Coturnix japonica: one gene and its partner. The protein of the gene in region 1 interacts with the protein of each later gene in a pairwise test. Links are inferred from orthologs where the notes say so. Each region holds a gene or a part of one and is shown on either strand. Other genes may lie near its edges.

Evidence for each region. The genes of interacting proteins can lie anywhere in the genome.
Region 2: the proteins of MTFR1L (region 1) and ARMC1 interact in binary tests that used the Homo sapiens proteins (3 or more experiments, as listed by UniProt). The two-hybrid records come from large-scale screens. The link is inferred for Coturnix japonica from reciprocal best matches to the Homo sapiens genes MTFR1L and ARMC1.

What each region holds. Positions count from the first base shown.
Region 1 is NC_029538.1:2,042,517-2,046,816, forward strand, and holds the start of MTFR1L (mitochondrial fission regulator 1-like), read right to left. Parts: upstream 2,859-4,300; 5' UTR 2,663-2,858; coding exon 2,648-2,662; intron 1,253-2,647; coding exon 1,148-1,252; intron 637-1,147; coding exon 527-636; intron 135-526; coding exon 1-134. UniProt on the Homo sapiens protein: Mitochondrial protein required for adaptation of miochondrial dynamics to metabolic changes. Regulates mitochondrial morphology at steady state and mediates AMPK-dependent stress-induced mitochondrial fragmentation via the control of OPA1 levels.
Region 2 is NC_029517.1:103,982,446-103,986,658, reverse strand, and holds the start of ARMC1 (armadillo repeat-containing protein 1), read left to right. Parts: upstream 1-1,359; 5' UTR 1,360-1,522; intron 1,523-4,144; 5' UTR 4,145-4,172; coding exon 4,173-4,213.

The DNA.
Region 1 (4,300 bases):
GTGCAGGTAAACCAGGCTTCTTCAAGGCCAGCAGCTTCTCCTCCTGCTTCCTCAGGTTGGGGACGGAGGCATTTCGCTGTATGACCGTGAAGGGACTCGGTTTCCATTTGTGTTTCAGTGGGCGAGTGTCACTTCTACAAGACAAAGACCTGGTGGTCATTGATGAACCCAAGGCCCTCCACACCAGCATCTCTCTGCCCCTCCCTTGGGGTAGCAAAACAGTTCAACACAATAAATTGTGGTTTCTCTTATACTACAACGCTCTACACCTTGTTTGGATGCGCTGTACCATCACATGTGCTGTCTCTCTGCGTTGCAAAGAACAGAAAGTCAAAGAAATCACAATCAAACAGCACAAGACATGGTGAAATGACACAGAAGTCCTTGGGAAAAACACCTTTGGACAGGCATCACTTCAGTGTTGGAGACCAGAGGTCGTGAGCGCTGGATCAATTTCTGACCTGTGCTACACAAACTAAATCACTTAATAAAAACAAGGATCAACAGACACAAAGATGAAACCAACCTGACTCGGGCATATGTTTCTTCATCATCTGCTGCTATCCACCCAATGTCTGCCAGGGTGGGGACAGGAGGGGCATCGTTTAAATAGAGCTCTGAAACATTGGGTAGAACCTACAAAGAAGAAAGTAACATGAAGGAAATGGTGGTTCTGTTTCCTGAAGCCACTCTGGATTTGCTTTCCTGTTTGTCAGAGCCTTTCTACTCTACAATAAGCCAGCAAACACAACTGCAGAATGCATGACAGCAACACTGTTTACTGTACAGAAACATAGTGCTCCACTGCGTTGGTTTCAATGTGTGTTCTTGGGTGCCTCAGTGTTACGGTGCCTAAATAGCAAAGCAACCAAGGGATATTTGATACTGCTCAACACACCGCCCAGGCCACGTGCAACACTTTGCCATTACAAGTCCTTGAGCTTGAACAGTTACACAAGTGTTTCCATTAACCTTCCTTACTGCTTAGGAAATAGGTTCAGCAGCTGCATGAGGTCACAACACACAGCTATATAAAAGTTTTGCAAGTGCTGGTCTACCTACATTTGGTTTATGGTGCAGCAGTTCATGAGTGGGCCTTGCTTTGCTTCCTACCCACAATCACCAAACTCCTTATGAGCAAGCTTACCTCAAAGGTCGCTCTGGGACAGGGCTTTAAAGGGAGGTTGGATCCAATCCTCCTGACCACGCTGCGCGCCGAGCCATGGGGCTTGTTCTGCCAAATGGGGATCGTCTAAAAGAAGCCACATTGCACAGTTAATATTCAAAGTCAGCTGCCCTTCTTATGACCTATCACACTGGGAACTGTCACATATAGTCTGATCTCTGACTTGCTTAGAGATACTTTTAATTAGGAATACGGGAACCTACTGATAAATAAGGCTCCGATTCCACCAAACTGTGCTTTAGTTGAACATAACCAACAGTGAGTCAGTTACTAAGGGGCCTTTTAAGCATGACTGCACTATTTCAGGACTGAAATCTATAAGTGCTCAGGAACAGAGACTACAAATAAAAAGGAGGAAACCATTGTTGTGTGAGCAGCCCAGAAGAGAAACGAAGCCAGAAGTCACACTTAGAGGAGGCACCTTTAATTGTATGATCCTTAAAAGCGGGGCTGACAGAACAACAGCAAAGTCTATTCAAAGCTTATCCAAACTGAGGGCCCACCAGAACCATCAAAGGGGGCGTTTACAGAAACAGAGTGTTTTTGTGACCTCTGGTTACTAATTAAACTGGATCCTAAGAAGTTCTGTCTCTGGTTGTTCTCCCTCCCCCAGTTTCACAGCTCCACCATTGGCTTTTGGAGAGGACACTGCACAGAACCAGGCAGCAAACACCACAAAAGCCAGGAATCCAAACAGCTTATTTTGCTTATCTCACAGACACACACAGAATGACCCGGGTTGGAAGGGACCTCAAGGATCATGTAGTTCCAACCCCCCTGCCTAGCAGGGCCACCAAACATACACATTTACTACATCAGGTTGCCCAGGAGACCCCATAGATCCCCATAGAGACCCCACAGACCCCATAGAGACCCATAGAGACCCCACAGACTCCATAGATCCCAATAGAGACCCCATAGACCCCACAGATCCCCATAGAGACCCCACAGACTCCATAGATCCCCATAGACCCCATAGGACCCACAGATCCCCATAGAGACCCACAGACTCCATAGATCCCAATAGAGACCCCATAGACCCCACAGACCCCATAGAACCCCACAGACCCCATAGACCCCATAGAGACCCCATAGAGACCCATAGACCCCATAGAACACCCGATAGATGGTTTGACCCTATGCCCGTCACCTGGCCTTGACCACTCCAGGACGGGGCATCCACAACCTCCCTGTGCAGACCTGTTCCAGGCCTTCACCCACTCTCCTGTGAAAGAACTTCCCCCTAACATCCAACCTAAATCTTCCCTCTTTTAACTTAAAACCATTTCCCCGTGTCCTCACCATCGAGTCCATTAAGAATTTATCACTACGCACACAAACCCCACACTCTAACCTTAAAATAGCACTTACATCACTGCATTATCAACTCACTATGGGGGTTATGAATTGAACGAAGGGGCAGCGTGTGGATAACGGGGGCTGGGTGCTGCCGGTACTTACGGACTCTGCTGCCATGTTATCGGTTCGGTTCGGTCCGTTCTCCCGGGTCGGATCAGGGCTGCGCTCTGCGGGTCCCAGGGCCTCGCTCCGGCCTCATGTTCCGCCGCTGGGTCTCGCTATTACACTGTTACCATCCCGTTATAACGCTGCGCTCTACCGAACCCAACCGAACCGGGGCCGACCGGGCCGGGTTAAGCCGAGCCGGAAGCGGAACCTCCCTCCTCACACTTCCGCTTCCGCTATAGAGCAATGGGTAACACGTGAGGCGGAGCGGCCGACCCTCCCCGGTTGGAAAGGACTGAGCGCAGGCGGAGCTGGTGGGATCGGTTTAACTATGAGCGGCTACAAGAGGCCCGGACAGCCCGCAAACGGCGCTGCTAACCCACATGGTGCTGCTGTCACACATCGGCTCTGACCCGCTTGTGGATTTAAGGCCAGAGCGTCACGAAGCACAGGAGACCAGGAGGACAAAGCAGCACCGCCCGCCTCCCGTAAGGAATAACACAAGGTTAATGGAAATACAGTAAGGATACAAATAGAAAACACGCGGCAGGTCAATATAAAATAAGTCCTCGGGGTACAGGTGCCATTAGAGCCCGCTCACAGCAGTAGATGGGAGGTGACAGGTTGGTTGGGGTGTTAACATGAGGATGCTGCTAATCCAGGCTCAGGGTGATGCTTGGTTGGGCTCCTATTGCTTCAACTCACCCCCAATCCCCTCCTTGTTCTGCTCACAGCACCAATGAGATGAGCTCTGCTCCCTCCTCTGCCTGCTGCTGCTCTGTCTGCTTCTCTGAGCCTTGAGAAGACAAGCCCTGAGTGCTCAACCACTGCTCCTCTATGACCCCTTCTGCTGTAAAACTGGTCAAAAGAGAAATAAATGGAACACAACACGTGTGCTGCTTTGAGTCTGCAGCCTGAGGCTAACAAAAAGTGAACAAAAACCCTTCAGGTGAAGCTCTGTAAGAGCCATAAGTGCAGATAACACTCCAGCAGCGCTTCCCAAGGTGCTGGATGGAAACACTCCAGCAGCGCTTCCCAAGGTGCTGGATGGAGGTAGGCACTCTGCTCTGTCACCTTGGTTCAAAGTCCCCAGCAGGGACAGAGGGGGCTGAGATTGGTCTCTTTAATGCCATGGTGACAGGAGCTTGGTCTCTTTAACGCTGTCTGGAGGCTTTGACACTTTCCCCAGCCATCACTGAAGGCAGCGCCTGTATGTAACCCAAACCTGTGATTACTGCAGGCCACTCGAAGGGCTAGAAAAGTACAGAGCTAATGCACAGTTAAAAAGCCAATACTCAGAAACATCCCACACCTAATTAATCTCACTTAGAGCAATTAGCAAAGCTACACTGAGTTGCTCAAAGGTTCATCTAAACTCAGCCTGATGAGAGATCCCTTCCAACCTTATCCATTCTGTGGTTCTGTGAATCATGACCCCAGCATCCATCCCAGGTCCTGATGCCCACAATGAAAGTACCCCCCTTCAAAACAAAAGAGGCTTTCCCCCAGCTCTGGATTTGGTCTAACAAAACTGTGCTTCAGAGAGCAGGAAAAAGCATCACTAGAAAAGGGCTGCTTGCAGCCATCTTTTGAAGATGCTTTGCCTCACCCATCTACAGGAATGTGCTTAAAACACCGTTTCATTTACTC
Region 2 (4,213 bases), on another chromosome or scaffold:
GCCAGGCAGGGAGGTTGGAACTACACGATCCTTGAGGTCCCTTCCAACCCGGCTCATTCTGTGATTCTGTGATAAATAAGTACATTTATTTCAAAGAAGCACCAAGCACATAAAAAAAGGAGTTCAAGGCCAGGCTGGACGGGGCTCTGTGCAGCCTGTTCTAGTATTAAATGGGGAGGTTGGTGGCCCTGTCTGTGATGGGGGGGTTGGGGATTCATGATCCTTGAGGTCCCATCTGTGAAGTGCTCCCCGATTTCTAAGCCAGGCAGTGAGGCGTTATAAAGACAGAACCGTACAGCCACACTCTGCTGCCAGACTTACACAGCTCCCCAGCTGCTGTTGTCAGCGTCATCCCTGCTCCCCCTTTGAGAAAGGTTCTATTCACAGAAGGGTGTCCATGGCTGGAAAAGCATTCCGAACGTTCTATGCTTTTTTCTGCCATAATGCCTCTTAGTAACAACTTCAGGCTCCCACACAATGTAAATGGCGACCGGGCTGGTTCTGATCCGGCGGCAGCTAACTGCAGCTTTAAAACTCCATGTTTTGCTTCCCATAACTGACACTACAACATCAGCGGGTTTCGCTTTCGGACACTGGAACAGGCTGCCCAGGGAGGTTGTGGATGCCCCGTCCTTGGAGGTGTTCAAGGCCAGGTTGGACGGGGCCCTGGGCAACCTGATCTAGTAAATGTGTATGTTTGGTGGCCCTGCCAGGCAGGGGGGTTGGAACTACATGATCCTTGAGGTCCCTTCCAACCCGGGTCATTCTGTGACACGTTCAATCCGCAAACAGCCGCGTCACACCCGCCACCTCCTCTCGGTGCCCCCACGCACCCCCACCTCCCTCACCCCCCTCCCCCCCATGTCCCCCCGTTGTTTCTCACCGCGCTGCAGTGTCACCCCGCGCTGCGGCTCCCGCTGCCGCCGTCCCCTCACACTCCGCTCCCGCCCGGTGGGGCCGTGTGCAGCCCGGCCGGCTCCGAACCACCCCCAGCACCGTGCTCTCTCACCCGCTTCTCTCACTGAGCTGGCGACCCCACCAGCAGCCAATCAGCGGCCGCGCCGGCACCTCCCCGACCAATAGGCGGCCGGCTTGAGGGGAGGCGGGACCTCAACCGCCCTTCGGCTGGGTGTCCAGCGACCTTACCCGGCAGCCACCGCGTCTGATTGCGTCCATCGGACACGTGACCGGGCTCCGCCAATAAGAGGCGGCGCTGCAGAAGGCGCCGTTGGCTGCGTCGTTGTGCTGCTGCCGTGCGGCGGACTACAGTTCCCAGCGCACCTTGCGGCGCAGCCGTTGTCCAATCCCGCCTCGCCGACAACAAGACGAGCTATGATTGGCGGAGAGGCGAGGGCGGCGCCGCACCAATCGCGTTGCGGCGTGGAGGGATGTGTGGGGTCCGAGCGGGCCCGGTGGCGGAGCGGGAGAGGTGTGAGCTCCGTGTGTGTCCCGGTGTGTGACCCCTGATGGCGATGGGGGCCTGAGGCTGAGCTGTGGCGGTTTGAGGACGGCTCGTTCAGCGGTACGAGGCCGGGAGCAGTGCAGGCCGCTACGGGGGGCAGGGGTGGGAGCGGGAGGAGCTGGGCTGGCCGGGAGGGAGGTGCGGCGAGGGGACCCGGCCTTTGGTCAGCGGCCACGGGGCTCCCGGCTGTAATAACGGTGTTGTGGGGGGTGGAGGAGATGGGAACTTCGGTTTTAGCTTTGGTTGTGACTGAGAAGACAGAAGGGGGTGGAAGGAAAAGAGTGGGACATGGTGAGGAGGGGTAGAACTTTGTATCACAGAATCAGAATGACCCGGGTTGGAAGGGACCTCAAGGATCATGTAGTTCCAACCCCCCTGCCTGGCAGGGCCACCAAACATACACATGTACTAGATCAGGTTGCCCAGGGCCCCGTCCAACCTGGTCTTGAACACCTCCAAGGACGGGGCATCCACAACCTCCCTGGGCAGCCTGTTCCAGGGCCTAACCACTCTCCTAGTGAACAACTTCCCCCCGACATCCAACCTAAAAATTCCCTCTTTTAACTTAAAACCATTTCCCCGTGTCCTGCTATTGTCAGCCCTTTCAAAGAGTTTACTCCCCTCCTGGGTGTAAGTTCCCTTCAGGTATTGAAAGGCTGCAGTGAGGGCACCCCGGTTTCGTGTGTGTGCAGGAGATCAGAAGAATAACGATAAAGTGGATAAGGATGAATAGAGCTGGAGGAGGGATCTGGTGCTCAGGATATGACTGGAAAGTCAGAGGCTTTTGTTCGCATTAACTTCAACTCATTTCATTTGTAGGCTTTGAGTAAGTTTTGTTGATCAGCTAAAGAATGTACCGAATAACACTGAACTTCATAGAGACTTTTTAGCAATTTAGAGCCATCTATTTTGAGAATATAAAGTATTCATTATGGTCTGAAGTTCCCAGTCAATCTTGCTAGGACATAGTACAGTCAAAGGGAAGAACATGGAGGGGAATGATTGACTTCTCACATTTCCTTTACCAAAGGAAGAACCAGTGACGGAGAAATTAGCAGGTTTTTATTTAATGTGAAAATGTGAGAAACTATTGGACACTTCTACACGTGCATCTACCAGCAGCAAGAGAACAATATAATATATGAATGGTATTATTTGTTTGGGAAATAATGGTAAAAGATTGTTACCAGTTACAAATTCAGTTTTATTTCTATACAGGGGGAAAAAGAATGCAACTTAATATGTCATTATTCATGCTTTTGTGCCTTAAAATAAAGCTACTTACATGAGTTTCTAGTGGCAGCACCAAGGACCACATTCCATAGTTTTGGAAGCACACAGTCTGTCTTTTGAAGTAATCATACAATGGTTTGAGTTGGAAGAGTTCTTATAAATTACCCATACCATTATGATATATAAATACCCGTATAAATTTCAACCTCTGTGCTGTGGGCAGGGCTGCCACCCACCAGCTCAGGCTGCCCAGGGCCCCATCCAACGTGGCCTTGAACACCTACAGGGATGGGGCATCCACAATTACTCTGGGTAGCTGTGCCGGTGTCTCACCACCCTCTGAAGTAACAATTTCTTTCTGAAATCTAACCTGAATCTCCGTTCCTTTAGTTTGAATCCATTCCCCATCGTTCTGTCACTATCAAGATGCAGACCTTCTCTTTTATCTAAGCTTATGCTTCTGTGGCCTGTTAAGTAGTTACCCCTCATTAAAACAACTGTGGAATCAGACACTGACACGTCTCATTTGAAATTAATATTGGCTTGCACTTTGGCTGAAGCAAGGTGTGACCTGCTTTTTTTTTCTTTATTGAATGCAAACTAGTCAGAAGTTTCAAAAAAAAATCACAACACCTCTAAGTATTTTGTAGCTTTAAATGGATATGGTGTTACACAAGCTGTGTGGGGCAGGTCTCTTCTCACTAGTGACAAATGACAGGACAAGGGGAAATGGCCTCAAGTTGCGCCAGGGCAAGTTTAGTTTGGATATTAGGAAGAGCTTCTTTACACAAAGGGTAGTTAGGTACTGGAATAGACTCCCCAGGGAGGTGGTTGAATCGCCATCCCTGGTTGTGTTTAAGAGCCGTTTGGATGTGGTGCTCAGGGATATGATTTAGTGTAGGGTTGTTAGAGCTAGGGTACTGGTTAGGCTGCGGTTGGACTTGATGATCTTCAAGGTCTTTTCCAACCTGGGTAATTCTATGATTCTATGATTATGCTTGATGCTGGGTTAATCTTTTGCTGCTTATTTGGTTCACTTTTATGTGAAATTTGATTACTGCTAAAGGCACTGAAAATTCAGGTTTTATTTTGCATGTTTATACAGAAGGATGTTTGTAGACTTGTAGTCTGCATATTGGGTGTGAGACAACTATGGAGTTTCTGATCATCTTTATCAGTGCTATAAACTATGTACTGTTATACATATCGGTGCATGTATTTGAAGGAAACAAGAGAAAATGTGATTAACCAAACCCTATCTGCTTTCCACAGGGGAAATTTAAGTTTCCAGCTGAAAAGTTCTATGATCATTATCCTTAGAAATTTTGTTCCTTGAGGCTTCTTTTTTTTGTACTCTTATGCCTGTAACAAATCAATGCATTTATGTTCTTACCTTATCTCTGCTCTAATTGATAGCGAACATTAATACCATATACATTTTTTTGACAGGTATTTTGTACGTGTGGTGTAGGAAAAAATGAATTCCACTATGAGTGAGGAGCCTGATGCACTATCTGT